3 linked regions of the Anolis sagrei genome follow. The protein of the gene in region 1 interacts with the protein of each later gene in a biochemical or structural test. Links are inferred from orthologs where the notes say so. Each region holds a gene or a part of one and is shown on either strand. Other genes may lie near its edges.

The links.
Region 2: the proteins of STX3 (region 1) and SNAP25 form a complex in vitro, tested with the Homo sapiens proteins (2 studies listed by BioGRID). The link is inferred for Anolis sagrei from reciprocal best matches to the Homo sapiens genes STX3 and SNAP25.
Region 3: the proteins of STX3 (region 1) and SNAP23 form a complex in vitro, tested with the Homo sapiens proteins (3 studies listed by BioGRID). The link is inferred for Anolis sagrei from reciprocal best matches to the Homo sapiens genes STX3 and SNAP23.

The regions. Positions count from the first base shown.
Region 1 is NC_090021.1:234,867,018-234,877,626, forward strand, and holds the start of STX3 (syntaxin-3), read left to right. Parts: upstream 1-5,943; 5' UTR 5,944-6,274; coding exon 6,275-6,304; intron 6,305-10,609. UniProt on the Homo sapiens protein: Potentially involved in docking of synaptic vesicles at presynaptic active zones. Apical receptor involved in membrane fusion of apical vesicles.
Region 2 is NC_090021.1:145,058,511-145,069,675, reverse strand, and holds the start of SNAP25 (synaptosomal-associated protein 25), read left to right. Parts: upstream 1-6,614; 5' UTR 6,615-6,768; intron 6,769-11,165.
Region 3 is NC_090021.1:286,950,110-286,961,452, reverse strand, and holds the start of SNAP23 (synaptosomal-associated protein 23), read left to right. Parts: upstream 1-7,069; 5' UTR 7,070-7,322; intron 7,323-11,343. UniProt on the Homo sapiens protein: Essential component of the high affinity receptor for the general membrane fusion machinery and an important regulator of transport vesicle docking and fusion.

The sequences.
Region 1 (10,609 bases):
ATGATGGTCCTTCTGATGTGGCGTCTTGTTGGTGGGTCTGTAGGTGGCTGTGGAGCCCTTTTCTTGATCTGCATGTTCTCCTGCATGAGGACATTGGTTTCCCAATGGAAGGTGGTCCCGGTCAGGGTTGGCTTGATGCGCCTCCCTCTTAACATGTTTCTCCCTTTTGCTCTCCATTTGTGCCTCTTCGAATTCTGCAGCACTGCTGGTCACAGCTAACCTCCAGTTAGAGTGCTCAAGGGTTATGGCTTCCCAGTTCTCGGTGTCTATGCCACATTTTTTAAGGTTGGTTATAAGCCCATCTTTAAATCTCTTTTTCTGTCCACGAACATTATATTGGGTGATGGTCACTCGTTGGCCTGAGAGGTGTATTGTGTCCAAATTTGGCATCAATTCGTCCAGTGGTTTTTGAGTTATGTTAATCCCACAAACGAACATTACCTTTTTATTGATATAGAAGACTAGCTGTCCCCTGCCATGCGTTGCTGTGGCCCAGTCAGTGTATATGTGTTTTGTGTGTGTATATTTGTATTTGCATATATATGTGTGTGGTTTTGTGCATGTGTTGTAATGTATTTTTTTTGTTTTTTGGCTTTTTAAGTTTCTTCTGTTGTGTTTTTCAGTGTTTTTATGACTGATGGTCACTTGTTGGCCTGAAAGGTGTCTTGTGTCCAAATTTGGTGTCAATTTGTCCAGTGGTTTTTGAGTTCTGTTAATCCCACAAACGAACATTACATTTTTATTTATATAGAATATATATTCTATATAAATAAAAATGTAATGTTCGTTTGTGGGATTAACAGAACTCAAAAAACCATTTTTATTTATAAAGAATATATATCTCCAGCAAAGGATCACCGCCTTGTCGGGGCGCTGGAGCTTGAGCACCTCAATGATGTCATGAGCGAAACCGTGAAGGGCCACCCAAGACGGGACGGTTGTGGCAGAGAGGTCAGACCAAGCGTGATCCCTGGGGAAGGCAATGGCAAACCACTCCAGTATCCTTGCCAAGAAAACTAAATGGACCAGTACAACCAGAGATATGTCGGTATGCCATTGGAAGATGGGACTCCCAGGTCGGAAGATGGCCAAAATGCTACTGGGGAGGAGCAGAGGATAAGTTCAACTAGCCCCAGATGTGATGATGCAGCTAGCTCAAAGCCGAAAGGAAGGCTAGCGGCCGACGGTACTGGAGGTGAACGACGAATCCGATGCTCTAAAGATCAACACACCATAGGAACCTGGAATGTAAGATCTATGAGCCAGGGCAAATTGGATGTTGTTATTGGTGAGATGTCAAGACTAAAGATAGACATTCTGGGGGTCAGCGAACTGAAATGGACTGGAATGGGCCACTTCACATCAGATGACCACCAGATCTACTACTGCGGACAAGAGGAACATCGAAGAAATGGAGTAGCCTTCATAATTAATAAGAAATTCGCTAAAGCGGTGCTTGGATACAACCCAAAAAATGACAGAATGATCTCAATTCGAGTGCAAGGAAAGCCTTTCAACATCACAGTGATCCAAATATACGCCCCAACCACAGCTGCTGAAGAAGCAGAAGTAGATCAGTTCTATGAGGATCTGCAGGACCTACTGGATAATACACCAAAAAGAGACATTATTTTCATTACAGGAGACTGGAATGCCAAGGTGGGAAGTCAAATGACAACTGGGATCACAGGCAAGCATGGTCTGGGAGAACAAAATGAAGCGGGACGCAGGCTGATAGAATTCTGCCAGGAAAACTCGCTGTGTATAACAAACACTCTCTTCCAACAACCTAAAAGACGGCTTTATACATGGACCTCACCAGATGGTCAGCACCGAAATCAGATTGACTACATCCTTTGCAGCCAAAGGTGGCGGACATCCATCCAGTCGGTGAAAACAAGACCTGGGGCTGACTGTAGCTCAGATCACGAACTTCTTATTGCCCAATTTAGAATAAAACTAAAGAGATCAGGGAAAATACACAGACCAGTTAGATATGATCTCACTAACATTCCTAGCGAATATACAGTGGAAGTGAAGAACAGATTTGAAGGACTAGATTTAGTAAACAGAGTCCCAGAAGAACTATGGACAGAAGTCCGAGACATTGTTCAGGAGACGGCAACAAAGTACGTTCCAAAGAAAAAGAAAACCAAGAAGGCAAAATGGTTGTCTGCTGAGACACTGGAAGTAGCCCAAGAAAGGAGGAAAGCAAAAGGAAACAGTGAAAAGGGGAGATATGCCCAGTTAAATGCGCAATTCCAGAGGTTAGCCAGAAGAGATAAGGAACTATTTTTAAACAAGCAATGCATGGAAGTGGAAGAAGACAACAGAATAGGAAGGACAAGAGACCTCTTCCAGAAAATTAGAAACATTGGAGGTAAATTTCAGGCAAAAATTGGTATGATAAGAAACAAAGATGGCAGGGACCTAACAGAAGCTGAAGAGATCAAGAGAAGGTGGCGAGACTATACAGAAGATCTGTACAGGAAGGATAACAATATCGAGGATAGCTTTGACGGTGTGGTGAATGAATTAGAACCAGACATCCTGAGGAGTGAGGTTGAATGGGCCTTAAGAAGCATTGCTAACAACAAGGCAGCAGGAGATGATGGGATCCCAGCTGAACTGTTTAAAATCTTAAAAGATGATGCTGTCAAGGTGATGCATGCCATTTGCCAACAAATATGGAAAACACAAGAATGGCCATCAGACTGGAAAAAATCAACTTATATCCCCATACCAAAAAAGGGAAATGCGAAAGACTGCTCAAACTTCCGTACAGTGGCCCTTATTTCTCATGCCAGTAAGGTAATGCTCAAGATCCTGCAAGGAAGACTCCATCAATACATGGAGCGAGAGTTGCCAGATGTTCAAGCTGGGTTTAGAAAAGGCAGAGGAACGAGAGACCAGATTGCCAATATCCGCTGGATAATGGAGAATCTCGATAAAATAGTAAAGAGTAGAGACATCAGACTGGCAACAAAGATCCGCCTAGTCAAAGCCATGGTATTCCCTGTAGTCACCTACGGATGTGAGAGCTGGACCTTAGGGAAGGCTGAGCGAAGGAAGATCGATGCTTTTGAACTGTGGTGCTGGAGGAAAGTTCTGAGAGTGCCTTGGACTGCGAGAAGATCCAACCAGTCCATCCTCCAGGAAATAAAGCCCGACTGCTCACTGGAGGGAAAGATACTAGAGACAAAGTTGAAGTACTTTGGCCACATCATGAGACAGGAAAGCCTAGAGAAGACAATGATGCTGGGGAAAGTGGAAGGCAAAAGGAAGAGGGGCCGACCAAGGGCAAGATGGATGGATGGCATCCTTGAAGTGACTGGACTGACCTTGAGAGAGCTGGGGGTGGTAACGGCCGACAGGGAGCTCTGGCGTGGGCTGGTCCATGAGGTCACGAAGAGTCGGAGACGACTGAACGAATGAACAACAACAATGGAGAAAGGCAGGGAGTTTCAGAAAAACATCTACTTCTGCTTCATTGATTATTCTAAAGCCTTTGACTGTGTGGATCATAATAAATTGTGGCAAGTTCTTGGTGGGATGGGCATCCCAAGCCACCTTGTCTCTCTCCTGAGGAATCTGTACAAGAACCAAGAAGCAACAGTCAGAACTGACCACGGAACAACAGACTGGTTCAAGATTGGGAAAGGCGTACGGCAAGGCTGCATCCTCTCACCCAACCTTTTTAACATGTATGCAGAACACATCATGCGATGTGCGGGGCTGGATGAATGCAAAGCTGGGGTGAAAATTGCTGGAAGAAACATTAACAACCTCAGATATGCAGATGACACCACTCTGATGGCCGAAAGCGAGGAGGAGCTGAGGAGCCTTCTAATCAAGGTGAAAGAAGAAAGCGCAAAAGCCGGGTTGCAGCTAAACGTCAAAAAAACCAAGATTATGGCAACAAGAATGATTGACAACTGGAAAATAGAGGGAGAAACCGTGGAGGCCGTGACAGACTTTGTATTTCTAGGTGCAAAGATTACTGCAGATGCAGACTGTAGCCAGGAAATCAGAAGACGCTTACTTCTTGGGAGGAGAGCAATGTCCAGTCTCGATAAAATAGTGAAGAGTAGAGACATCAGACTGGCAACAAAGATCCGCCTAGTCAAAGCCATGGTATTCCCTGTAGTCACCTACGGATGTGAGAGCTGGACCTTAGGGAAGGCTGAGCGAAGGAAGATCGATGCTTTTGAGCTGTGGTGTTGGAGGAAAGTGCTGAGAGTGCCTTGGACTGCGAGAAGATCCAACCAGTCCATCCTCCAGGAAATAAAGCCCGACTGCTCACTGGAGGGAAAGATACTAGAGACAAAGTTGAAGTACTTCGGCCACATCATGAGGAGACAGGAAAGCCTAGAGAAGACAATTATGCTGGGGAAAGTGGAAGGCAAAAGGAAGAGGGGCCGACCAAGGGCAAGATGGATGGATGGCATCCTTGAAGTGACTGGACTGACCTTGAGGGAGCTGGGGGTGGTAACGGCCGACAGGGAGCTCTGGCGTAGGCTGGTCCATGAGGTCACGAAGAGTCGGAGACGACTGAACGAATGAACAACAAAGAATATATATATACTAGCCACTCTTTGCTGTGGCCCAGTCTGTGTATATGTTTGTGTGTATATATATGCGTATATGTGTGTCTATATATTTGTGTGTGTGTATATTTACATCACTTATATCCCGCCCATATCAGCCCGCAGGCGACTCAGGGCGGTCTACATATCAGCACAATTTGATGCCATCAATACAATACAAAAGCAAAAACAATTAAGTGCATTTAGACAAGAAAGACAGTGCAATAACAATTTAAAAAGAGCTATATCCTCTCATTCCAATCCTCATCCGTTTCATCGTCTTGGCCGTTCCTGGGTCATTCTCCATCTCAAGCTTGACTATTCCGGGGTTCTGAATGCCTGCCAGGTTTTCACTCTCTTACGAAAGGTCAGGAGGGAGGGGGCTGATCTAATATCCCTAGGCAGGGAGTTCCACAGCCGAGGGGCTGTGTGTTTGTGTATATATGTGCTTTTGCGCAGGCACTGTAATGTATTTTTTTGGCTTTGTAAGTCTCATCCACTTTGTCTTATTTTAGTGTTTTTATGGATAATGGTCACTCGTTGGCATGAGAGGCAGGGCTGTATCCAGAAAAAAATTTCGGGAGGGGTTGAAATTTTCGGGGGGGGGGTTGAAAATTTTACAGGGTGTGTGTGTGTTGAAACCTGCCTCCTAGCTCACGCTGAAGCAAAGAGCACAGCAGGGGGCAGAGCAGCCTTCAGTAGCCTGCAGCTCCGCCCCTGTCAACCACCTCCACCAAGTCTGGCCTCCTTAATGAGAATATTCAACACACACACACCCAACTTGGTTGCTTCACTACATCGGCTATTGCTGCAAGTAATGACAGTGTGAATAAATTGTCAATATTTGCTTGAGATAGTGCTTGCAGTTCTGGAGGGACTCTTTAATTTTTTGCATCTCATAGATTTAGCATGGGGATTTGGTTAACCAGTTAAAATTCATGAGTAAACCAGGGTTTTTTTTAAAAAAAATCTGAAACATTTCGGGGGGGGGTTGAACCCCTAACCCCCCCACCCCCCCCCCCCCCACCCCCCGCTACAGGCCTACTGAGAGGTGCCTTGTGTCCAAATTTGGTGCCAATTCGTCCAGTGGTTTTTGAGTTCTGTTAATCCCACAAACTAACATTACATTTTTATTTATATAGAAAAGATAGATAGGTAGATTAGCAACACCCTCTCTGAGGGGGTCCCCCGGTGCAGCTCCCACTCCCACGTGGGCCTCTCCAGGCGACACCTAACACAGGTTGTCCTCTCCTCCAGCAACAGGTTGGCTCTCTCTGGCTTGGGAGGGGCCTACCCCTTTAAGAGCGACTTGCGCTCAGGTAAGTGGGCGGGGCCTCCCGCTTTGACCCCGCCCACCCTGCGTATGTCATGATGGATTAGCGGCGGCGGCGGGGAGCTCAGCGCCCGAGGATCAGACCCAGACGGGGAAGGAGGGGGAGGAGGAAGAGGAGGAGGAGGAGGAAGAGGAAGAGAAGAGAGCAAGTGGGGAGGGGGCGTCTCTCCCCTCCGCCGCGGCCAGGCAGAGCGAGTTCCCCTCCCAGCCAAGGCAAAGAGGGCGAAAGCGGAGGAGGAAGCCGTCCTTCCGTCGGGGCCGGGAGGCCACTTCCTGGAGGGGAGTTTCGCCCGGGTCCACCTGCAGAAAAACAGGAGGAGGAGGAGGAGGAGGAGGAGGCACACACCTGTCCAAAATGAAGGACCGGCTGGAGCAGCTGAAGGCGGTGAGCAAGCCCCCTGCATCCACTTCCCTCTTTCCCTTCTTTCCTTCCTTCTAAACTGGGGAATTAATGCACTTTGACACCGCTTTAACTGCCCTAACTCTACTCTGGGACCCTAAGAGTCTTTCTCCTTCTCTGCCAAAGAGTGTGGGCGCCTCACCAAACTATAACTCCCAGGATTCCTCATAGCATTGGGGTGTCAAGCTGTATTAATCCCAACCATAGGGACTGTAAAGGGAAAGGGCCCACTTTGGAATAGTGTGGCTATTGGTGGGAATCCAAAGACTGGGTCCTTAAGGTAAAAGTCACCCCTAAATTTGGAAAATAATAATATAGAATATGGGGCGGGGGGTTGGAATAGGCTTCCACAGCTCTGTAGTTTCCAAACCTGCCAATAGTGGCTGGCAAAGTGAGGGTGGGACTGTTTAGTAGTGCTCTAATGCAGGTATGGGCCAATTTGGGTCCTGCAGGTGTTTTGGACTCCAACTCCCACCATTCCTAACAGCCTCAGGCCCTTTCCTTTTCCCCCTCCGCCGCTTAAGTTGGAGTCCAAAAGTAGTTGGGGTCCAAAACACCTGCAGGACCCAAGTTGGCCCACACCTGCCATAATGGATCTGAGAATATGTCCATTAGGGAACCACATGCACACCTTGCAATGTGGCACTGTGACCAAAATAATAAAACCATTTGAAGATGGCTAGGAGGGAGTCTCTGTTTCCCGCCACTTTTCCCCCCACCAAGATCAGTAGAGTTGGCAACTTCCTCTTTTTGGCTTCCCGCCTCCTGTCACTTTTATTTTTTTTTCCTTCCTTGGTGCACTCAGATATGTGCCTGCGGACATTATCTATATAAGATGTCACAAGAGCATTATAGGCCCAACCAGGGCTGAAGTGCTGGTTTCATATCCTCTCTCACATAACATTTATGGCTCAGTTGACTTGGAGCTGCCCCTCCCCTTGTTCTTCAATCCTCAGTTCAGAACATAATGTTCAGTCTCTCAGCTTGTGGTCACTTCTGAAGGTGCAGCTACACTGTAGAATTAATGCAGCTTCACACCACTTTTAACTGACATGATTCAGTGCTAAGGAATCATGGGAGTTGGAGCTTTGCATGCTTTTACTCTTGGGCCCTTCCACACAGTCCTATATCCCAGAATGTGAAGGCATGAAATCCCACAATATCTGAGTGTGGACTCAGGGCCCTTTCATACAGCCCTATATCCCAGAATATCAAGGCAGGAAATCCCACATTATCTGAGTGTCAGCTCGGGGCCCTTCCATACACCCCTATATCCCAGAATACCAAGGCAGGAAATTTATTTATTTACTACTAGCCGTCCCCTGCCACACGTTGCTGTGGCCCAGTCTGTGTATATGTGTTTTGTGTGTGTGCATGTGTGTGGGTGCATATTTTTGTGTATATATGTGTGTGTGCGGTTTTGTGAATTCATTGTAATGTTTTTTGTTTGTTTTTTGCTTTTAAGTCTCTTCTGGTGTGTTTTTCAGTGTTTTTATGAGTGATGGTCACTTGTTGGCCTGATACATGTATTCTGTCCAAATTTGGTGTCAATTCGTCCAGTGATTTTTGAATTATGCTAATCCCACAAATGAATATTACATTTTTTTATTTATACCTAGCTGTCCCCTGCTACGTGTTACTGTGGCCCTGTATGTGTGTTTTGTGTGTATATGTGTGTGTGTGTATATATTTGTGTATATATGTGGTTTTGCACATGCGTTGTAAAGTAATTTTGTTTTTTGGTTTTTTAAGTCTCTTCTGTGTTTTTCGGTGTTTTTATAAGTGATGGTCACTCGTTGGACTGATAGGTGTATTCTGTCCGAATTTGGTGTCAATTCATCCAGTGGTTTTTGAACTATGTTAATCCCACAAATGAACATTACATTTTTATTTATATAGATATTTGTATACCGACCTTCATAGCCCTTAGGCGACTCACTTCTGAAGATGTAGCTACACTGTGAAATTAATGCAGCTTCACACCACTTTTAGATGACACAATTCAATGCTAAGGAATCATTGAGTGAATATCTGAGTGTAGGCTCGGGGCCCTTCCACACAGCCCTATATCCCAGAATATCAAGACAGAAAATCTCGCAATACCTGCTTTGAACTGGGTTATCTGAGTCCAGACTCAGATAATGTGGGATTTTCTGCCTTATATTCTGGGGTATAGGGCTGTGTGGAAGGGCCCTCGGATGACCCAGGGCCCTTCCGCACTGTCATATAACCCAGAATATCAAGCCAAGAAATCCCACAATATCTGCTTTGAACTGGGTAATCTGAGTCCACACTGCCATATATTCCAGTTCAAAGCAGACAATGTGGCATTTTATTCAGCTGTGTGGAGGTTGTTCCAGTTCAAAGCAGATATTGTGGGATTTTCTGCCTTGATATTCTGGGATATAGGGCTGTGTGGAAGGGCCCCTTCTCTGTCAAAGTTCCTATCTAAAGTAGAACGACCAGAATTCCATAGTATTGAGCCTTGGCAGTTAAAGTGGTGTCAAACTGCATTAATTCTACAGTGTAGATGTACCTTGAAATCAACTCTTTAGTGCTTCTTGGGCCCCTTCCACAAAGCTAAATAAAATCCCACATCTGCTTTGAACAGCGATTTATGGCATTGTGGACTCAGGGCCCTTTCACACAACCCTATATCCCAGAATGTCAAGGCAGAAAATCCCACATTATCTGAGTGTGGACTAAGATAAACCAGTTCAAAGCAGATATTGTGGGATTTTCTTCCTTGATATTCTGGGGGCCCTTCCACACAGCCCTATATCCCAGAATATCTTCTTTGTACTAGGTTATCTGAGTCCACACTGCCATATATTCCAGTTCAAAGCAGAAATTGTGGGCTTTTATTCAGCTGTGTGGAAGAGTCCTCAGATAACCCAGTTCAAAGCTGATATTGTGGGATTTTCTGCCTTGATAGTCTGGGTTATATGGCTGTGTGGAAGGGCCCTTAGTTTTCAGCTGAAATCCGTCATTTTTAAAAGGAGGAAAAACACAAGTGTCTGGCCTGTAAGACAAGTTTGCTTATGCGTCTCCTGAAGTACATCTTTATTGAGTGCATCATCATGGTGTGACGTGATATGCAGATGGCATAAACACAGCTTCTCACAGTTTTTATTGCCAGAGAGTGTTAGTAGTTCAGCATGTGCCAGACTTGGCAAAGGCCTAGGCATGCTACTTCTTTCATATTTGCTGACTTCAAGGTGATGACCTGTTTCACACTCCTACGTCTAGCTCTTTTCTTTTTCTCAGTGTAAATAACTTGTGTTACTTTATTTATACCCCTCTCTTCTCACCTTGAAGGGGATTCAGTGCGGCTTTACAAACTACGGCAAAAATTCAGTGCCTCATTTTGCACATAACAAAAACATAGCACATTAAATTATAAAACAATTAAAACATATAAACAGTTAAAACCTATAAAACACAGTAAAATAGTTAAAAAACATAAAAAGTTCTGAGTCATTATTTCCAAACATCCAGTTTTCCATGGTCATTATCTGGACTGCAAGGTTAAAGTCAAATTCCACGTTACCCTATTCTTTGAATGCTTGAGCACAAAGCCAGGTCTTTAGCTTTTTACCTGAAGACCAGGAAGAATGGGGCCAATCTAATTATTTATTTATTTATTTATTTATTTTATTTACTTTGCTTATATACCGCTGTTCTCAGCCCGAGGGCGACTCACAGCGGTGTACAACATAGAAACAGGTTCAAATTCAAGACACAATCTAAAATAATCAATCTAGCATTAACCAAAAACATCGTCATCAAAAACATCATCAATAATACAAAAGCCATTCCACGTCGTCTCATCGTCTAAACCACAATCCAGTATCATTTTCCGTTGTTCCATTCCTGTCGTCATTACCAATTATTGCACTTCTTGTTCGAACGCCTTCTTGAACAGCCAGGTCTTTAATTTCCTGCGGAATATTAACAGGGACGGAGCCTGTCTGATGTCCACGGGAAGGGTGTTCCACAGCCGAGGAGCCACCACCAAGAAGGCCCTATCTCTCGTCCCCACCAGGCGTGCCTGTGAGGCAGGCGGGATCGAGAGCAGGGCCTCCCTGGACGATCTCAAAGTCCTGGTGGGCTCGTAGGTTGAGATGCGGTCGTAAAGGTATCTTGGGCCGGAACCGTTTAGGGCTTTATAGGCCAACGCCAGCACCTTGAATTGAGCCCGGTAGCAAATCGGCAGCCAGTGGAGCTGGTACAATGTCACTAGGGAGGGGGTTCCACAGCTGAGGGGCCACCACTGAAAAGGCCCTGTTT
Region 2 (11,165 bases), about 90 Mb from region 1:
GCTGAAGACCTGGATGTGTATAGGGAGATTTTTTTTTTTACTGTTTTCTTCTGCTTAGCAGCTCAAGCCTCCTCCTCTCATGCTTAAGTGCAAATGCAGATTCTGATTCAGAAGTAACTTGGTAGGAAAGATAGGGAAAATATAATATGCTGTGGAGGATATTTTTTTTAAAAAAAGTATTAGTCACACATTTCTTTGGGGTCATAACTGTTACATTCCTTCACAAAATAAAGCTGGCCAGTAATGTCCCAATTTCACAGAGTGAGAATAGAGGCCAGGAGGAACTCGCCAGGAATTTCCAGTAAGTCAAAGCTTTATTGAAATGCTTCAACACAAATGTCTCAGGCTGAAGGCCAATATCCCTCTATGAATAAAGAACTGGAAAGCTTGCGTCTCCACCCCCAGATGCTGCTACAGTTCCCATCATCCATCATCATTTGCCAAGCTGCAGGTAATTAGAATCAGTCACACCTAGAAGGAACATGCTCCCCAGCTACAACATTAGCAGGAAAATATTGGTTTGACCATTCCAAGGCTGTTTCTTCCATCAACATTCATTTTTGCACCAGTGTTACCCAGAGGTTTGTAACCCATGCCATCCATCTCTTGTGGAGACACATCTTTCCAAATGTAGTTTGGGCTATATTTATCTCTGGCTAGGTTCCAGTAGACTGGAGCCTTCTCCCAGGGCCATGTTTTGGAATATATCTAGACAATTTTAGTTGTTTCCAGGATCTTTGCTGTGCCATCATAGTTTCCTGTTTCAACAGTTTGCAGTGGTGCCCTGTAAATGTGAATAATCTCTCTTGTTCTGCTACCACCAGGCTCAGCAAAGATGGTAAGATTCATGGTCCAGAGTTTCCTCAATTCAGGGTTTTATCACACCAACCTGTTGTCTCACAGCAATAATAAAGCTGAAGCAAACAGGGACAATCACTTTCACACCACCTCTCCAGCAGCACTTTGGCACAGAGTAAAAGCATCACAGCTTCACCCTACTTTGGAGATGTGGATGAGGAGGAAAGCTATATCCACCTGTGCCACATGACTGTCAGTTATCAGGACAGCAGCAGAACAAGACAGTCACACCAGAATCTAAATTGAATAGTTGTGACATTGGACAAGGGTTTGCTTTCTTGGAGCTATAATATGGATTATGTGGGCAGGGTCGTGGGGGCCTCAGTAGCAGTCTCCATAACAATCAATCAAAACTTTATTTGTATCCTGTCCTCTCTCCCAGTGGGGACTCGGGGCAGCTAACAACACAAAATAAGAAACAAAGCAAATGGGCAATATAAACAATCAATCATAAATAATAGCAGTTGATGACTTTGATTCCACTGGGTTGTGAATTAAGTCTGGGTTTCTGCTTGAATTTTAAAGGAGCTAGCTAAGGTAATGAATATATAGGGTAATGTGCAGCGTATGAGCAAATCCTATAGTGTGGGTTAAAAGCTATCCCACTTACATGGAAGCCATCAGTTGTCATTGGGGATTTGGAAACAATGCTATTTGAGTGACATTTCTTTCTCTGCCAGTCCCATGTTTGCTCTCAGCCTTCTCATTTTACTGGGCAAGAGGAAGAATTCCTTCTGAGAGAGGCCCAAACCAACACCATCCATTTCAGTATGCAGCTTTTTTTTTTTTTTGGCATGGAGAAGAATAAAATTACCATTTAAAATTACAATTCTCAACTTTGTCTTTAGTATCCTTCCCTCCAGTGAGCAGTTGGGCTTTATTTCCTGGAGGATGGACTGGTTGGATCTTCTCGCAGTCCAAGGCACTCTCAGAACTTTACTCCAACACCACAGCTCAAAAACATCGATCTTCCTTCGCTCAGCCTTCCCTAAGGTCCAGCTCTCACATCCGTAGGTTACTACAGGGAATACCATGGCTTTGACTAGGCGGATCTTTGTTGCCAATGTGATGTCTCTACTCTTTACTATTTTATCGGGATTGGACATTGCTCTCCTCCCAAGAAGTAAGCGTCTTCTGATTTCCTGGCCACAGTCTGCATCTGCAGTAATCTTTGCACCTAGAAATACAAAGTCTATCACGGCCTCCACATTTTCTCCCTCTATTTTCCAGTTGTTAATCATTCTTGTTGCCATAATCTTGGTTTTTTTTATGTTTAGCTGCAGCCCAGCTTTTGTGCTTTCTTCTTTCACCTTGATTAGAAGGCTCCTCAACTCCATAGTTTTAAATAAGGAGAAGAAAAAAACATTACCACAATTATTTGTAATTACTCTGGACTTTACGGTATCTTGTTTTGTACTAAGTAGTCCAGACTTTGTGACACCACTATGTACAAGAGTGCACATTCCAGAATGTTCCCAGAAACTTTTCTTCATTCTTTCTTCCTACACTTGGCATAGTTGTGCTCTGAGGGAATCCCCCAAGATGGCTAGTTCTCAAATGCTGTCAACGCCCCCTTCCCACTACCTTCCCAGTCAAGGCCCACTTATTTTCCCTTCCCAGTTTGCTCATGATTGCAGTTTCCCAGGAGAGCCTTTGTTGCCTAGAAACAAGCCTGACATCCAAACCTCCCTCTCCCCTCCTCTCTGCCACCATCAGCCTTACTTCAGGGCCGCCCGCACACATCTGCTATACATCCTCAGTAATTTTGTGAAAGTACCAAAGTAACAAGGAGCCAGATGGAATGATACATCGAATAATATTTTCTTTCAAGACAACTGTGAACACGAAGGGATGGAGGGAAGGCCAGTACTTTGGGTGCTCATTTCTGTGGACCATCCTAGCCACACAATCCAAGCCACACAATCTTATTCATGAAGAGAGGAAGCATATGGTAGGCCCAGAAGGTTAGACAGAGATTGTTGCATTTCTGGGCTGATGGATCTGTGATGAACGGGCAGGCAGAAAGTGCCCAGAGTCCTAATATACCCATGATTTTGATTCTTGATACCTTGAGTCCCTTGAAAAGTAAAGAAAAGATAGTTTCTAGCCTTGGCTCCCCAGATGCTATCAGACCTCAACTCTCAAAACTCCCAGCCAACATGGCCAATGGCAAAGGATTCTGAGAGGTGTAGTCAAGACTGCAGATGAGTTCCATTTCAAAAATGAGAGGTTTGCTTTCAGTAGCAGGAGCCTTGCATCTCATCTCATTTCAAATACTTTTCTACAAGCTATAGCAGGCACATAACAGGCAGGCAGCCTGGAGTCTTTTCTCATTCTTCTGCCTTGCCTCTTACATTTCTAAAAGATCTTCTTTCTCCTCCTCCTCCTCTTCTTCTTCCAGTTTTAGAACATCTAAATTTAAATGAGGTTTCTGCAGGGGAACCAAGTGTCCTGGAATTTTAGCTCAAGATCGGGCACCACAGTTTTTCATGATCATGTCAAACTGAAAAAGGAAAAGCAGGAGAACTAAAGATTTCAGAAAATGGAAATCTCCATAACCTTTTGGAAAATGAATATTCATAACCATTTGGAAAAACCAGGAATCTTTTAGAAAGGCATGACCTTGTTAGAGATCATAACCTTTTTGTAAAGTATGATCTTCCTGAGAAGAGTTAAAAATGCACTTGAGTCAACCTTCCCCTTACTGGTAAATATCACTAGCATTCATGCAAAGCAATTAGGTTTCTCAGATGTTAGACTGATATATCTAGATATCTCTTTGAACTGTTAGGAACAAAGATATGCCAATGCATATATCAGAGTTTCAAAAGTATTATTTCAGCTGCCTAAACAAACATCAACTGTCTCTTAAAACATCCTGGTTTAAATCATGCTTCAAGATGCCAAAAATAAAGTAGTCTTTGTTAAAACAGCATAGTTGGTTTACTCACAAACTTCAAGTATTCAGCATATAAGTACATTGCTTATCAATCCAGTTACAGATAGGATTTGAAGTAATTTCTCTGTGCAGATAACACAGGGGATTGTTCTTGTAATCTTAACAGCTCATAGTCTAAAGCCGTGGTTCTCAATCTGTGGGTCCCCAGATGTTTTTGGCCTTCAACTTCCAGAAATCCTAACATCTGTAAACTGGCTGGGATTTCTGGGAGTTGAAGGCCAAAACATCTGGGGACTTACAGGTTGAGAACCATTGGAGCATCTCTCTAGTCTGAAAGTCTAATAGTGTGTATGCAGTCAGTTTCTACAGTCTTCCAAAAGCATATTGTTTCTACTGGCATCTGGAAATTATACAGTTAGTAAAATGGAGTTTCAGATGAACAGTCCCAGTTCTATGTTGCAGCCCTCCTACAACATAGAACTGAGGATAACTGCAAACCAATACACACATATACAATACGGTAAGCAATCTGAATTATATACTAAACAAATAACTGGTATAGGAGGCTTGTAGAAGGTTTCCCTTTCCAACAAAAGAGGAAGAGGGTCACTGTTATTTCTGCTTCCCTTCTTTATGGTCCACCTGAACTCAAGATTTACTGAGACACACATCCTGCTTCCCTGCTTTGTCAACATGGTTGTGCTATCTTTGATTTTCTTCAAGGGATTGGGCCACAGTGGTTCTTTGATGGGATATATTTCAGGATGGGGAGAGAGAAGGGAGATTCATCCTATATTGATTCCTTTACATAAAAACAAAAGTGTTTCAAGATGAAAAAATATAGTTTGTAGGAGTCATATGCATGTAGTTATTTTTCTATTAAATAGAAAAATAACTATATTTAACTTGTCCTCATGGACAACAAGTTAAACATGAGCCACCAATGTGATGCAGCAGCAAAAAAAGCCAATGGGATTTTGGCCTGCATCAATAGGAGTCTAGTGTCTAGATCCAGGTTTGAAGATGAGCAAAGTAAATAAGCTTGCCTATCTTCCAACGGACCTCATAACCTCCTAACCTCCGAGGATGCCGGTTATCAGGCCTGTAGCGGGTGTGTGTGTGTGTGTGTGTGTGTGTTAGGGGTTCAACCCCCCCCCCCCAAATTTTCAGGTTAAAAAAAACCTAGTTCACTCATGAATTTTAACTGGTTAACCAAATCCCCATGCTAAATCTATGAGATGCAAAAATTAAGAGTCCCTCCAGAACTGCAAGCACTTTCTCAAGCAAATATTGACAATTTGTTCACACTGTCATTACATGCAGCAATAGCCGATGCAGTGAAGCAACCAAGTTTGGGGGGGGGGGGGTTTGAATGCTTTCATTAAGGAGGCCAGACTTGGTGGAGGTGGTTTACAGGGGCGGAGCTGCAGGCTATTGAAGGCTGCTCTGCCCCCTGCTGTGCTCTTTGCTTAAGCGTGAGCTAGGAGGCAGGTTTCAACGCCCCCCCCCAGGCATTTAGCTGGGGGGGGGGCTTGAGGGGCTTCAGCCACCCCCCCCCCCGAAATTCTCATGGTGGTTCGCGAAAAGGCCTTACTGGTGCATTATTTAAACTGTTACGTTTATTCATATCACCATACTCAATATATCCCATATATCCAGAATCATAGAATCATAGAGTTGGATGAGGCCTCATAGAATCATAGAGTTGGATGAGGCCAAGCAGCAGGAGGAGAGAAACTGTAGGCAGGTAGGGTATTGGGGTAATGATACAAAAGGTTTGCTAGGGTAGACCCTCTTTCACTCAGACTCAGCCCCCCCCCCCGTAACCCCCCCTGAAAAAAACTCAGCCCCCCCCCCCCCCCGAATTGAAATCCTGGCTACAGGCCTGACCTCCCCTCGAAATTTTCACACACACACCCCCCCCCCCTCGAAATTTTCAACCCCTCCCTCGAAATTTTCAACCCTCCCCAAAAAACATTTCTGGCTACAGCCCTGCCTGTTATAGATGTGGGCAAAACGTCAGGAGAGGATGCTTCTGAAAGATGGCCATACATCCAGGAAAACTAACAGTAACGCAGTGATTCCAGCCATGAAAGCGTTCGACAACACAAAGTAAATAAGGCTGGTGGTTGTGGGCTGAATCTATGGCACCTCTGCATTTCTCTAAAGATATAATCAGCTCTTTGGCAACCCTGCATTATGTGCCAACGTAGATTACAAGGCAAAAAAGTAAAACCTCTCAACAACAACAAACAACCCCACATTTTAATTATTGGGGAGTCCTCATTGTCTTGTTTGACAAGCCCCCCGAGAAATGTGGCTTCTTCGGAGTAAGGAAAAGCATCCTTAAAAATAGAAAGAGCCACGTCAACAGGCCATATATGGAGTCTGCTGGAGTCTTCAGAGGAATACCCTTTTCGGACCACTGCTCTAGCGAAAACAAATCCCTACCGCAGTGCTGCTCCCGCCCCCAGCTGAAGGAAACCAAAACTTCTCATCATAACAAATACTTTTTCCCCCTTTCAAAACACCCTTCCAAACTCTGGCTTGCACGGAAGATCACACCCCCTTTCTTGGGTCCTTTAACTGCTTTTTTTTTTTACCGGATCCCTTCCTCTCTGTTTTCTTTTCTGTATAGGAGGGGGAGGGAAATGCCCGGGATTGCGGTATATTGTGCAGCAGCAGTAACAGCAGCAGCAGCATCAGCTTCTGATGAGTCAAGCTCCCCCAGACGCCTCCCTGGCGCTCCGGCTCTTCCCCCCTCCCTTCCCTTCTCCTCGTGCGCGCGCGCGCCCTCCTTTCCCTCCCCTCCTCCCCCTCCCATCCGCCCCTCAATAGATGTCTATTAAAAGCTGCTGACGTTGGGAGCGACGGCCATCTTTGATGAGGGCACAGCTCCCGTTTCATTGAAGAAGGAGACTCGGAGAGGTCAGGAGCGGCTCTTCTCCTTCTCCTTCCCCGGTTGCCAGCCAAGCCAGGCTTTGCGAGGAAGCAACGCTCCCGGAGGCCAGGTAAGGAGGGAAGGAAGCACTCCCTGGCGCCTGCCTTCTTTTCTTTCCATTGCTTTGCGGGGGAGAAAGGAGAGTATGAATCTCTTCAACCCTGATGTTTATTTCTGATTAGAGGGGGGGGGGGGGGGGGGGGGGGGGGAGGAGAAACCCTCATTAGGCCGAGAAGGGAAGGAGGAGCAGTACGAAGATGGAGAGAGAGAAAAACACTCATTTGTTTACTGTTTAGTCTGAGAAGGAGGAGCAGAAATATCTCCAATCATAATGAAAGAGAAGATGAAGGGGAGAGAAATATTAATGCCTGCCCTAGATGCAGGCAAAACGTCAGGAGAGAATGCTCCTGGAACATGACCATACAGTCCGGAAAACTCTGTGATCTGTGGTCATTCCACAGATATATAAACCCATTTTCCTACTTCCAACAGACCTCACTACCTCTGAGGATGCTTGCCATAGATGCAGGCGAAACGTCAGGAGAGAATGCTCCTGGAACATGACCATACAGTCCGGAAAACTCTGTGGTCTGTGGTCATTCCACAAATATATAAACCCATTTTCCTACTTCCAACAGCCCTCACTACCTCTGAGGATGCTTGCCATAGATGCAGGCGAAACGTCAGGAGAAAATGCCTCTAGAACATGGCCATATAGCCCGGAAAAACCTACAACAACCCAGTGATTCCGGCCATGAAAGCCTTCGACAATACATTGAACAACCTTATAATTCCGGATATGAAAGCCTTCGACAATATTCATGTATTCTTAACTTATTAATGCTCTTCTCCCAGCATTCCTGAACAGGGAAAGCAAAGGGTTTGTTTTTGTTTTGCTGGCCTCTCTCTCGCTTTCATTTCCTCTCTCGTTTTGGCGCATAGCTCTGTTTTGGCTGCCTCGTAATATGGTGGCAAAAGTTGGAAGGATGTGTGTGGGGGATATAATACCAGAGATATAGCGCGGATTTTGTTGCATAGAGCGGCCGAGGGTCTTCCGCCGCAGCTCCACTTTCAGGACCATGGACAGCAGCAGCCGCCTCCGTCGCAGGAATCCATCAGGGGCTGCGCGCGCAGCTCCCAGCTCTGATGCCGCAGCAGCAACAGCAACACAAGGGGGCTTGGGTCCAGCACCTCGGACAGCTCCCTGCCTGCATTAAGGATAAGGAGCTCAGAAGAAAACCCCGCAGACACTGCAGAGGGCTTTGGATTCAGCACCTCGGACAGCTCACCTGCCTGTATTAAGTATACAGCGTTTCCGGCTCAGAGGAAAACCCCGCACACAGTATAGAGCTTGGGTTCAGCACCTCGGACAGCTCCCCTGTCTGCATTCAGGAAGGAGCAAGGGTTTCTGGCTCTGAGACATTGTAGAGAAGGAAGGCCAATCTCTTGCCTCGATGCCTGGGGGCTACGCATAATAACAATTAATAATAATAATTAATAATGATATAAATAGTAACAACTAGTGAGAAACATCAAGCTAAATCTAAGGCTTAGCCTCCACCGCATAGACCTACTGGACCAAATCAAGCCCGCACAAGGACTGCAAAACGTTACTCATCCAATGAGTCTATTTATATTCCAGTCATTTATTACTCATTCAATGTGGCATTTAGTCAGTCATGGCTCCTTCCAAGAGGTCTGCTCTACTTGGGGAGGACAACAGTGGGATTTAGTCCCGTATTTCCAAATTCCGGGTGCGATCAAGACTGTTTACATGCCTCACATGCTTCACCCCCTTCCTTGGCCTCTTCAAAAATTCACCTCCGCATCCATCGCCATTTAGGGAAGCTGGAAAGCTCTCCCAACCGTGCCGTTGCAGTCCTGTCGCAAAACCTTCAGTTGTTGCTGAATATGAATATCTCTTTCCCTCAATCAATACTATGGACCCTTGTTTATCTAGGAAGAGATTCTTCCAATACGCAGAGGAATAACAAGCATCGTGGGGACTCTAAATAGAGAGCAGGCTGCAGGGTTCCTATTCCGCTTCCTAGTGGTTTTGAACCCTTTCTCCTCTTGCCACGGCCAGAGGGAGGGCGGCTTCATTCATGTTTCCTGCCTACTACGACATCATGTCGAGAGGCCATTCTGAAACTGGATTATGGGCAAGAGTCTTTGGGGAAGAGTAGGGAGGGGGGGGATGGAGAGAAGGAAGGAGAGGAGATGGGTGCTGGAGATGGGCTTCAAAACTCTCCCGCCCACCTCCCCAACCCACCTTTCTCTATCAGAGGGGAGGGAAGCCGAACGAGGAGGAGGAGGAAGAGGAGGACCCTGATGCTGCAGAGCTCCCTCAACCGGGTGCGTGCTATCTTATGTAACGGATTGGCAGCGGGGGGGCTCCGGCAGCATTCCTCTCTCATACACACAATCTTGCTTCAGAAAGGCAGGACATGTCTATTTTGTAAAAAATAAATAAATAGGGATAGGGAGATAAAGGTTTCCCCTTGACTGAAGGTATCTATCTATCTATCTATCTATCTATCTAAAAAGGTAAACCCCCCCTTGACTGAAGATATACTATATATCTATTTATTTATCTAGTATACCTTCAGCTCCAAGACGCACTTTCCCCCTATATCTCTAAAAATGGGGTGTATCTTGGGTATTTTTTGTGGGTGGTGCTGGTACTGAAATTGTAAGACGCCATCGATTGTAAAACGCACTCCAATTCATAAATACAGTACACACATATACATAAATATACATAGTTATACGGTATATATACTTATTATATATATACACACACAAATATGCTTATTTATATATTCATACGTACATACATATATATATATAGAGAGAGAGAGAGAGACTTATTTATATATGCATACTTATTTATATATACATATGTATACATACTTTATATATACATACATATAGAATCATAGAATCAAAGAGTTGGAAGAGACCTCATGGGCCATCCAGTCCAACCCCCTGCCAAGAAGCAATATATAATATACGTATATATACAAACTTGTACACACACATATAAACATATATATATACATACTTACTTATCTATACATATGTATACATACTTTATATATACATACATACATATATATGTATATATACAAACTTATACACACACACCTATATATATATATATACACATACATACTTATTTATCTATACATATATAGGTACATCCTTATTTATATATGCATATATACTTATATATACATATATAGATGCATCTGTATTTATATATTTACATATACACAGACATATACAGGCCCGTAGCCAGGATTTCGATTCGGGGAGGGGGGGGCTGAGTTTATTTCGCCCTCTGGGAATAGCTGCATCAAGCCCTTTCCCGACGGTTTAGATTCTGTTCTTGGATTGGTAGCATTTCTCTTTTCCAAAGTCATCTTTATTCTGAAGCAGCACCAAACGTCACCTCCAAGGCAGTCCCGTAGCCAGGATTTTGATTGGGGGGGGGGGGGGGGAGGGGGCTCAGTCTGAGTGAAAGAGGGTCTACCCTAGCAAACCTTTTGTATCGTTACCCCAATACCCCCATGCATATGGAATATATTGAATATAGTAATCAGATCATGATATGAATAAACATATCAGTTTAAATAATGCACCAGTAAGGTCTTTTTGTGAACCACCATGAGAATTTCGGGGGGGGGGGGGGGCTGAAGCCCCTCAAGCCCCCCCCCCCCCAACCTGGCTACATGCCCCTGGATATATATATATATACACATACATACATATACATATACACACATGCATGCATACATAGCTTTTTAAAAATATATTGTATCATATATAGAAACATACAATCTTCAAAATAAACAGTCAAAATACCAGTATTTTCCCCAATTCCACCACCACCAAATCCCCATCCCCCCAGGAACGTTAATTACTCTTGCTATACGTATTACATGCATACATAGCGTCATTATCTAATATCTATTTACATAATGACGCCAAGAATCAGGGCATCCATTAAAGCCCCATTTAGTTTGGTTGAGTCAAAAGGAAAGATGCCAGAGTATCGGGGATTTTAGCTCTTTCCATCTTTCTCTCTCTCTCTGCAAGAGGAAGTGGTGTTGGTGTTGGGGGGGGGGGGGGGGTATTTCCAAAACAAACATGCCATGGCGGCTCTCTGGGAACCAAGGCGCCAAGAGAGATGGATGTTTCCATCTAGCGCCTCCGCCTGTTCTGATTTTGGAAGGCTGATCGATTGGAGGGAGGGGGGGGGGGAGACTGAGAACCCCTCCCTGGAGGCGCCAGAGTCTCCCTAGATCTAGATGTACGTCAAACACGCCCCCTTGCGACCCGCCCCCCTTGATCAGCTTCTCTTCTCGGTCACGTTTCTCCAGCCGCTCTTGGCGTCCATCTGCGGCATTCAAGGCGGGGCGGGAGGAGGAAGAGGAAGCACGTTCTTCGGACGGAGGTCCTCCT
Region 3 (11,343 bases), about 52 Mb from region 1:
AATGTCTTCTCACCTAATAAATGTTCCTTCAGAACAGAAAACCAAAACACTAGTGACATGAAAAACCTGCATTGCTGCTTAAAGTTTTCCACCTATGATGTAGATATGTGATTTTCCACCTTCTTGGACAGAAAGGAAAGGGTGTGCTCAAAAAAAAAAAACAGGGTAAGATGGGTTCTAGAGTAGAGAATACCAAGGAACTTGGGGAGGGGAGCTATCCTGAGTTTTGTTAAGGGTGCCTCCAGTTCAGAAATAGATATATAGAGTCTTTAAACAGCATGCACAATACCGTATAATATCTGGTTGAGGAAACAATTAGTAGGTTAGTCTCATCCAAAGTATACTATATCAGCACAGTATCATGAGAGGACAGCTCCCATGCTGCTGCAGCTCCACTGGTTGCCAGTCATGGGAGCTGTCCTCTCATCATACTGTGCTGATATAGCATCACAGTATACACTACTTTGGATGAGACTAACCTACTAATTGTTTCCTCAACCAGATATTATACGGTATTGTGCATGCTGTTTAAAGACTCTATATATCTATTTCTGATAAATAGATATATATCTATATCTATTTAGCTAAATACAAAATGCTGGTCGTTAGCTATAAAGTCCTATATGGTTCAGGTCCAGGCTATTTGTCTAATTGTGTCTCCCAATACAGACCATCCCGTGCATTGCAGTCAACGGAGGAGGCCCTCCTCTTGGTCCCACCCCCATCACAAGCTTGGTTGGTGAGAACAAGAGGGGGTTTCTCCATGATCGCTCCCTGTCTCTAGAACTTCCTCCCTAAAGAAATAAAAATGGCCCCCACCTCTCCTTTGAGAAACTTTTGAAGACACACTTATGCACTTTGGCATATGGAGGGGGAAGTATAGGAAACTTTAATTCACTGGAATGGGCTAACCCACTGTATTATATGGCAGCTATGATACATTTTAAATTAACTTCTATGCTAGCCATCTTTAATATAATGCATTTTAATTGTTGTTCACGGCATGTGCCTTAATGTTTACTCATTAAACATTGTAGTTGTAGTTCACTATGTCCTACTGAATTGTTTATATTTTGTTTTTCATTTCAATGCTTAGTTCTTTTATTATAAATGTACTGTTGTTATTGTGCAGTACTCTGAATTTATTTTTGATCTGTTGGTACTTATTTGAGGCATTGAATGTTTGCCTTTTTTGTGTGTAAAGCGCCCTGAGTCCCTTCGGGGAGAGGCGGTGGTCTAGAAATAAAGGGGTTTCTATCATTATCATCATCATCGTCATCATACGATGAATAAAAGTTCAGTAGAATATATTTAACCAGGAAAAGTTTCAATATAATGTTTTATTATACAACTTTTTGAGAAAATATCTATAATCCCTCTCAATTCAAAAGCGTATTCATTATAAGAAACTATTTAGGAAACTAATGAGTATGCTTTAAAAAAATGAAATCTGAATGGAATTGCATAATTTTACACACAAGCATCCTATTGTTATAGTAATGTTTATTTTGTTTCTAATATAATTGTTCTATGTTTGTAGTTTACAATTATAAATCTCAAAACAGTAGAACTAAGTTATACTGAGGGCTGCTGTTTTCATTTGCTTTTAGGAATCATATGTTTATACTGTACTGCCTTCTTCATCTGGGAGAATTCTTGATCTCTCTTTTAGTGGGCAATCTAACAAGGGGTGTAACGAACATAGGAAAATGGAATGGTTGACAATGTGATTGGACAATGTTTTAACAAGGAGACTCTAATGAATATGTGTTTTTAATTGACTTTGTTATGGTTTTATAACCTCTGATTGGGAGCCCCCAGTGGTGCAGTGGGTTAAACCCCTGTGCCGGCAGGCCTGAAGACTGACAGGTCGCAGGTTCGAATCCAGGGAGAGCGCAGATGAGCTCCCTCTATCAGCTCCAGCTCCTCATGCGGGGACATGAGAGAAGCCTCCCACAAGTATGATAAAACATCAAAAACATCCGGGCTTCCCCTGGGCAACGTCGTTGCAGACGGCCAATTCTCTCACACCAGAAGCGACTTGCAGTTTGTCAAGTCGCTTCTGACACGACAAAAAAAATTTCTCTGATTGTTTTTGTGGTTTTATATTTATCGTGTCATCTGCAACCAGAACATTGTATTACATTTCTAACAAAACAAAACAAACAAACAGATTAAAAAAACCCACAAATTTTGCAAACTTGGTAGCTGATTAAATATCCTTTGACCAGTATCTGGCCACTTGGAGTGCCTCTGGTGTTGCCACATCGTGCATGTGGCAGGGCTCAGGTTGCATTGCAGCAGGTGGTCAGTGGTTTGCTCTTCTCCACACTCGCATATCGTGGATTCAACTTTGTAGACCCATTTCTTAAGATTGGCTCTGCATCTCATGGTGCCAGAGCGCAGTCCGTTCAGCGCCTTCCAAGTCCCCCAGTCTTCTGTGTGCCCAGGGGGGAGTCTCTCATCTGGTATCACCCACGGATTGAGGTGCTGGGTTTGAGCCTGCCACTTTTGAACTCTCGCTTGCTGAGGTGTTCCAGCAAGTGTCTCTGTAGATCTAAGAAAACTATTTTTGTGGTATTGAAATTGTATTGGTATTAACTGTACACTGCCCCGAGTCGCCTGCGGGCTGAGAGGGACGGTATATAAATATAGTAAATAAATAAATAAAAATACTTCTTTTTCAGTTACTTCAAAGTATAACTCACTCCTGCCTGTGTCCTGTACAGAAGTTGTGAAAGAGTTGAGAGAGGAAAGAAAATATACTTACGATGTATTCCCACTCTCCAGTTTTTGATTGTTTACAGTTTTTGAATACTGCCATTTTTTATGTTTGTTTGTTTACCTCGACACTCCCCTCACTAAAAGTTGTCACAAAAACAAACAACCGCTCAGGAAGTGCTTGGCTGCCTTTGACAAAGACTGAAGGTGGTAGTTCTAACTCCGTCCCTGGAGGGATTTGCTTTGCAGGAGCCCTATTCAAGGAACATCCCCCCCCCCCCCAACTGAGGAATTGGGGACCTGCAGCCCCACAGGTGAGCTCCATCCTTAACCCTTTTGAAGGACCACCGGCAGAGTACTTACAGGCCGCATCCACCCAGCAGACAGCCATCGCCCAGCGGCAAGGGCCACCCCCCGGGCCCTCCACCGGCACCGCCACCACCACTGGCTCCCCGGCCACCCAAAGAAGCCCCGCGCCAGAATACAGGAAGCGCCTCCACGGATACAGCCAATCAGAGGGCCACAACAGCCGCCGCCCTTTGCATGCTGGGAAGGGTAGTTTTCTGCCTCAGAGAAGCAGGCCGCGGCGAGAAGGAATGATCCCGGTGCATTTCGGGAATTGTAGTTTTGGACAACGTTGTGGCTGAAATTATCCCAGAGCCTTGGGCCATTGCAGTTAAAGTAGTGTCAAACTGCATTAATTCTACACTGTAGATGCACCCTTCATACTATAGAGTTCTGAATGTTGTCATTTCACAAACTCTTCTCTGGTACTGGTAGCAATCAGTCAGGCTTTGAAGCTGCAAGGCCATTCAATGCTAATCAAGGTGGCCAGTTGCAACATTCACACTTGCCTCAAGCAGACAAGTGTTCTGTCTCCCACCCTGGACATGCCAGAGATATATAAACCCCACTTTATATAGGTATGTAGTTTCCAACATACCTGTCAACCTCTAAGGATGCCTGTCATAGATGTTGGTGAAACGTCAGGAGAGAATGTTTCTGGAACATTGCCATACAGCCCAAAAAACTCACAGCAACCCATCTTCTCTGGTACCTCACCAAATTAAATCCTATGACTCCACAGCATGGAAACACAGCAGTTAAAGGGCCCTTCTACACTGCCCTATATCCCAGGATCTGATCCCAGATTATCTGGCAGTGGAGACTCATATAATCCAGTTTAAATCAGATAATCTGGGATCAAATCCCAGAGTATACAGATATGTAGAAGGGGCCAAAGTGGTCGAGCTGCATTAATTCTACAGTGTAGATACACCTAACGGAATATTTAGGATAGTCTTGTTGTAAGGAGGTCTTAAATACCCTAAAAGCATCCAATTCTGTCTGGGTTCTTCTACACAGCCATATAACCCAGAATATCAAGGCAGATCATCCACAATATCTACTTTGAACTGGGTTATCCGAGTCCACGCTGCCATATATTCCAGTTCAAAGCAGAAAATGTGGGATTTTATTCAGCTGTGTGGAAGGGGCTTAACAAAACTATTAAATCCATGGGGTCACCATATGTTGGCAGACAATAGAAACTATCAGTGTGGTTAGTGCATTGGAATAGGACTCCCAGGATGTAAACTTGCTTAGCAACTCACACTCAGCCTGAAGGGGAAGGAAATGGTAAACACCCTCTCAACAAATCTTGCCCAAGGAAATCCCACAATATCACTAGTTGGAAATGACTTGAATGCACACAGAATCAACTGTATTGTTAGGACCTGTTGCTAAGCAAACATATGTCTGAACTATCTGTGGATGCTAAAGAGGAAAACCACTCAGTCCTATAGGGAAAATGGTAACGTTCCTCTGAACAAATATTGCCAAGGAAGTCCTGTGATAAGATAATGACTTGATGGCACACTACAACAACACAGCACAGAGGAAGGTGTGTGTAAAAATGCTACAAGCATGTGCACCCATCAATTTGTACAAATGCCATAGTTAAATACCACTGATAAAGCCCTGGACTGTATTTAATTACACAGCTTTCCTATGTAATAAACTAAAGCAGACTGATTCAACAAGTTGTTTCCAGGTTGTTGTTGTTGTTTACTTCAGGTCTCCAAAGAGTTGTGGAATGGTTTCCAAAATGCTCTACAGCCAAAATTCATTCATTTTGATTAGAAACAAAGGTATGTAAATGTTTTAAACTAACAGGATACAATGTAGTTTGCAATAACACGAATTTTGCACAATCATCATCTTTCTTTTTCTTTAATTTTTGGAAATGCATCTTTGGTTCCTTTTGGGGGGACTCCCAAAAATGCATTTCCCATCCCAGCGAGTTGAGCACTGGATTACAATTCTAAAGGTCAGGATTTTAATTCCCTTATTTATTTATTTATTTATTTATTTACGATATTTATATACCGTGTTTCTCTCCCCTGGGGGAGACTCAAGGCAGTTTACAACATACTAATGGCAACAATAAAATGACAATATACATGTAAAAAGAAAAATCATAATAACTTTAAAAAAATATTTTTATTGTTTCATAGTGTATGTAGAAAACAAAACAAATGAACAAAAGGAAAAAAGGAACAAAGAAAACATATGCAAAAGATTTACAAAAGAGTCAATATTCATTAAACATATATACAATCAGATTTGGTTGTACAATTATTTATACCTTAATATTACATAACCCTCTATCCCCCACCCGTGAACCCCACCCCCTGACCTCCGAAACTCCTCAAAACAGGATCGCATTACTAAACAACAACTACCCAAATATCTTTTTTCACTGAATCCCTTTATGGCAATTTTCAAGTTTACCTTTGTCTTCTTTTCCAAATACCCAAGTGCCAGCCTCCATTTATTTGCAAATTCTTCATTATTTCCTCCGCAGCTGCTATTTGTCAGCTTGGCCATTTGGATATAATCTGCTAACTTATATCTCCAATCTTTAATAGATAACTCTTTTTCCAGGTTCTTGTGGGTTTTTTCAGGCTATAGGGCCATGTTCTAGAGGCATTTCTCCTGACGTTTCGCCTGCATCTATGACAAGCATCCGCAGAGGTAGTGAGGTCTGTTGGAATTAGGACAATGGGTTTATATATCTGTGGAATGGCTGGGGTGGGGCAAAGAGCTCTTCTCTGCTGGAGCTAGGTGTGAATGTTTCAACTGACCACCTTAATTAGCATTTGAAGGCCTGCCTGAGCCTGGGAAAATCTTTTGTTGAGAGGTGTTAAGATGTGCCTGGTTGTTTCCTCTCTGCTGTTTTGCTGTTGTAATTTTAGAGTTTTTTAAATACTGGTAGCCAGATTTTGTTCATTTTCATGGTCTCTTCCTTTCTGTTGAAATTGTCCACATGCTTGTGGATTTCAATGGCTTCTCTGTGTAGTATGACATGGTGGTTTGTTGGTGTGGTCCAGCATTTCTGTGTTCTCAAATAATATGCTGTGTCCAGGCTGGTTCTCTTTTTCCCTTTTCCAAGTTTTGGCTATTATTAGTCTTGCCGTAACAAAGCAATATTGACAAATTTCTTCATCTCCTGCACTGATACGCATTCTAAAGATAGTGCTTGCAGTTCTGGAGGGACTCTTAATTTTTTGCATCTCATAGACTAAGCATGGGGATTTGGTTAACCAGTTAAAATTCATGAGTAAACCAGGTTTAAAAAAAAATCTGAAACATTTCGGGGGGGAGAGAGGTTGAACCCCTAAAACCACCCCCTCGCTACAGGCCTGGACCTAAGGTATTAGGAATTGTGAGAGTTGAAGTCCAAAGCACATGGAGGGCTGACGTTTGCCCATGCGCAGGACCCATTTAAAGCAGTTCAAACTGCATTATATGGACCAGCATTATATACTTAGTGAAGACCCATTTAACGCAGTTCAAACTGCATATGGCTCTACATTGACCATATATTACTGTTCAAAAGGCCGTATTTGGCAGCATAGATCCAGCCTTAGCCCCCACTCCTCCACACAGCTGAATAAAACCCCACATTTTCTGCTTTGAACTGGAATATATGACAGTGTGGACTCAAATAACCCAGTTCAAAGCCGATATTGTGGGATTTTCTGCTTTAATATTCTGGGTTATAAGGCTGTGTGGAAGGTCCTTTAGGTGTATATGTCTCTGGGCCCTTCCACACAGCCCTATCTCCCAGAATATCAAGGCAGAACATCCCACAATATCTGCTTTGAACTGGGTTATCTGAGTCCACACTCAGATAATGTGGCAGGGCCTCCAGTGCCAGGAGGTTGAGAGAGCTCTCCTCCGCCTGCCCTCTGAATGACAACATTTTAGACAAACAGGAAAGGTGGGCGGGGATGCAAAGGTGGTGAAGCGAGGGGCGGGGCCAGGCCTGGACGGCCATGAAGTTTCACCTATAACAGCTCTGGCCGAGCGAGCGACCAATGCGCTGCGAAACTCAACGCGAAGGAGGCGGGGAGGCGAGGGCTTGGCGGAGGAGGAAGGAAGGAGAGAAGGCAGGCCGGGTGGGGCTTGGCTGGCTTGAGCCGAAGGAGGAAAGGCGGGCGAGAGGGGCTTTCCGGAGGAGACAAGGCTTGCCCAGCGACGAAGGAAGACCTGAGGCTGGAGAGAGAGGAAGGCAGAGAGGGCAAAGACGGCCTGTGGTGAGTTTCTGTAGAGATGAAGAAAGAAAGAAGGAGCGTGGGAAAGATTACTGGGGCTTCTTCTTGTCTTGAGAGGAATAGGAAGCCAAGGCGACACGTTGAGGAGGAGGAACTCAGGGCGAGGAGGAAGAGCCCTGTGGGAAGAAGAAGAAGAAGAAGAAGAAGAAGGGGAGGAAGGCAATGGGGGCAACGTGGGAGAAGCTCCCCCAAAGTGCCTCCTCTGAAGCCCTGGCTTGGATTTTGGCTGCCTAGTTTCAGAAGTGTTTCCCATGTAGGACTAGGCCCGGCTTCCTGTGGTCTGGTTGGGTCTCTCTGAAGCAGGCATCACTATCAGATTGTTGTCCTCCAGCTGTTTGGGCCTCCAACTCCCAGAATTCCTTAAAGCCTCTGGGAGTTGGAGGCCCAAACAGCTGGAGGACCACAGTTTGAGTGTGCCAGAGTGTGTGCATGTGTGTGTCCTCATCAGAGGTTGACCTAAGTAATTTTCAATGGTAAGCAAACTATTTTGCCTGTATTGTCGAAGGCTTTCATGGCTGGAATCACTAAGTTCTTGTGGGTTTTTTCGGGCTATATGGCCATGTTCTAGAGGCATTTCTCCTGACGTCAGGAGAAATGCCTCTAGAACATGGCCATATAGCCCGAAAAAACCCACAAGAACTTAGTATTTTGCCTCCCCCCCCCCCCAAACCAATCACTGATATATATTTTCTGTTCGTCATGGGAGTTCTGTGTGCCATATTTGGTTCAATTCCATCATTGGTGGAGTTCAGAATGCTCTTTGATTGTAGGTGAACCATACATCCCAGTAACTACAACTCACATATGTTAAGGTCTATTTTCCCCCAAGAGCACCTCAAGAGTGCCCCTGGGCAAAATCAACTATACTGCAAATGCTTACTTAGCGTAATGGGTTGAGCTACCCCTGGTCCTCATTTTTGTTCTGTGTGTTTTTTTTAAATCCTGGCAGGGTTATCCCCTTCAATAATAATAATAATAATAACTTTAGGTTCTTCTGGGTTTTTTCAGGCTACAGGGCCATGTTCTAGAGGCATTTCTCCTGATGCAGGCGAAACGTCAGGAGAAATGCTTCTAGAACATGACCCTATAGCCCGAAAAAACCCACAAGAACCTAATAATAACTTTGTTTATACCCCGCCACCATCTCCCCAAGGGGACTCAGGGCGGCTAACATGAGGCCAAGCCCAACGATTACAACAAAGCAAAAAGAATACAAACATACAATCATACATCAAATAAAATACAATAAAATATCAAAAGAAAATAATACAAAATTCAAGTGCACTTTAATTGTCAATAATAATAATAAACTTAATTTATAACCCCCCTCTCCTCAAAGGGACTCAGGGCAGTTTACAGGAATAACAAAATGGCAAACGTTCAATGCCAAAACCAAATAGACCAGTGGTTCTCAACCTTTGGGTTCCCAGATGTTTTGCCCTTCAACAGCTGGTAAAATGGCTTGGATTTCTGGAAATTGTAGGCCAAAACACCTAGGAACCCACAGATTGAGAACACCTGGTCTATTTGGTTTTGGCATTGAGCGTTTGTCATTTTAGACAATCAAAATAAAACATAGAGTGAAATAAACTCAATATAGGTTGTTGTATGTTTTTTCGGGCTATGTAGCTATGTTCTAGAGGCATTCTCTCCTGACATTTCCCCTGCATCTATGGCAGTGGTTCTCAACCTGTGGGTCCCCAGGTGTTTTGGCTTACAGCTCCCAGAAATCCCAGCCAGTTTACCACCTGTTAGGATTTCTGGGTGTTGAAGGCTAAAACATCTGGGGACCCACAGGTTGAGAACCACTGATCTATGGCAAGCATCCTCAGAGGTAGTTTCTACCTACTTCTGAAGATGCTTGCCATAGATGCAGGCGAAACATCAGGAGAGAATGCCTCTAGAACCTCATATAGCCCGAAAAAACCTACAACAACCCAGTGATTCCGGCCATGAAATCCTTCGACAATACATTAAACTCAATATAGCTTATAACAATCAAACAAGAATTAACTCAATGAACCTAAAGCATGAAGAATTATACTAATTAATATACAACACATTAAAAGCACAAGGTAGTATAATGTAACATATAGCGTAACACAGGGGTCTTCAAACTAAGGCCCAGGGGCCAGATAAGACCCTCCAAGGTCATTTACTCAGCCCTCACTCAGGGTCAGCCTAAGTCTGAAATGACTTGAAAGCACACAACAACAAAAATCTTATCCCTGCAGCCAAAAGCAGGCCCGCACAACCCATTGAAATACTAATAAGTTTATGTTTGTTAAAATTGTTCTACATCTTAATTATTATTTTGTTTTAAGTGTTTTTTGCATGACAAATAAGATATGTGCACTGTGCATAGGAATTCATTCATGTTTTTATTCAAATTATAATCCGGCCCTCCAACAGTTTGAGGGACTGTGACCTGGCCCTCTGTTTAAAAAGTTTGAGGACCTCTGGCATAACATGTCAGCCAAGGCTGTATGCTATTGGATTATTGTTCTAATAATAATAACAAACTTTTGTACGCCGCCTCATGTTCCTGAGGGACTCGGAATGGCTCACAACATGAATAAATACAATAAAGTACACAAATAATACATCAAATCAATATAAAAAACAAACAAGATAAGCCAAAACACAAGTAAACAAAATTAACAATAAAAATAATAAAACATTAGTTAAAAACACAGTCATTTCTATGAGTTAGAAGGGCGCTACTACCCAACTCGAGGTATATCCATATTTAAAAAAACCCTTGTTCACATTAAAAGTGTTTACTACATTGCCAAAAGCCTGTTTACACAGCCATGTCTTAAAATCCCACGTAAATGTAAGGATGGGATTGTCTAATCTCGCTGGGAAGGATGTTCCAGAGCTTCGGGGGGGGGGGGGGGGCACTGTTGTGAAGTCCATCTCCCTTGTCCCCGCCATCCTCATATGTGATGGGTTACATTATAACATTAGTAATAATAACATATAACATTATAATCATAATAAGGCTAACAAAGGAACATCTATGGAGGGAGACTCAAGCCATGAACCTGAAATGCTGAGAGGAAAATAACACTATATAACAATATAACATTAATAAAAACAACAGATAACAATATAATCATAATAAGGATAGTTTTATGAGGTATTTGCCCTTCTCCGGCCCCATCTATGCTGGCAGCCCTGAGTTACAAACATCCGACTTACAAACGACTCATATTTAAGATCACAGGAAGTGAGAGAAATCTACCCCTTGAAAGGGGAAATCACTCCTGGAAGAGTTATCCTGGGAAAAAGGTGTCTCAGCTGAAGTTTATCACCAATCCTTGTTTCTGCAATAAGTCAAGTTTTTCAAAATCCAATCATCACAGGGACAGAAAATCTACAGAACCTATCTTGTTCATAACTTGAGGACTGTCTGTAATGCAGTTTGATACTGCATTATATGTCAGCATATACAGTTCATTTATATGAGTCTACACACAGACCGTATCATGCAGTTTCAAACTACGCTATATGACGGCATAGGTGGGGCCTCTGTTAGTGAGCTTTCGTACCACTACAGATAACAGAATTTTATCGTATTAAACCATTATGGTAAACTGCTATAATTTTGCAGTGTTAGAGCAATAGCATGGTTTAATTTTTAGTAAAGCCACCGTTCTTTCTACTGGGTGTCCCCAAAGTCACCATTAATAGGGACATTTTAGTTAAATTACGTTTATTTACAAAACATTCCTTACAAAATTTTGCAAAAATATTCTCTACATGTTGTATATCTGAAAATATGAGTTTGTTCACTTTTCCTATGTACAGAGACTTTTGCGACACCCTGTTTTTTTGGTTTTTTTTTAAAAAAAGGAACTGTTATCTTTCACCATCTAGTGAGCAGAGGAAGTTTCACATACAGCTCAATGTTTTGGCTGTTTTGCATTACAGACATACCACAGTTAATGAAGCTGATGAGTTCCTAGGAATTACATCTTCAACAGAAACTAGGACCAGA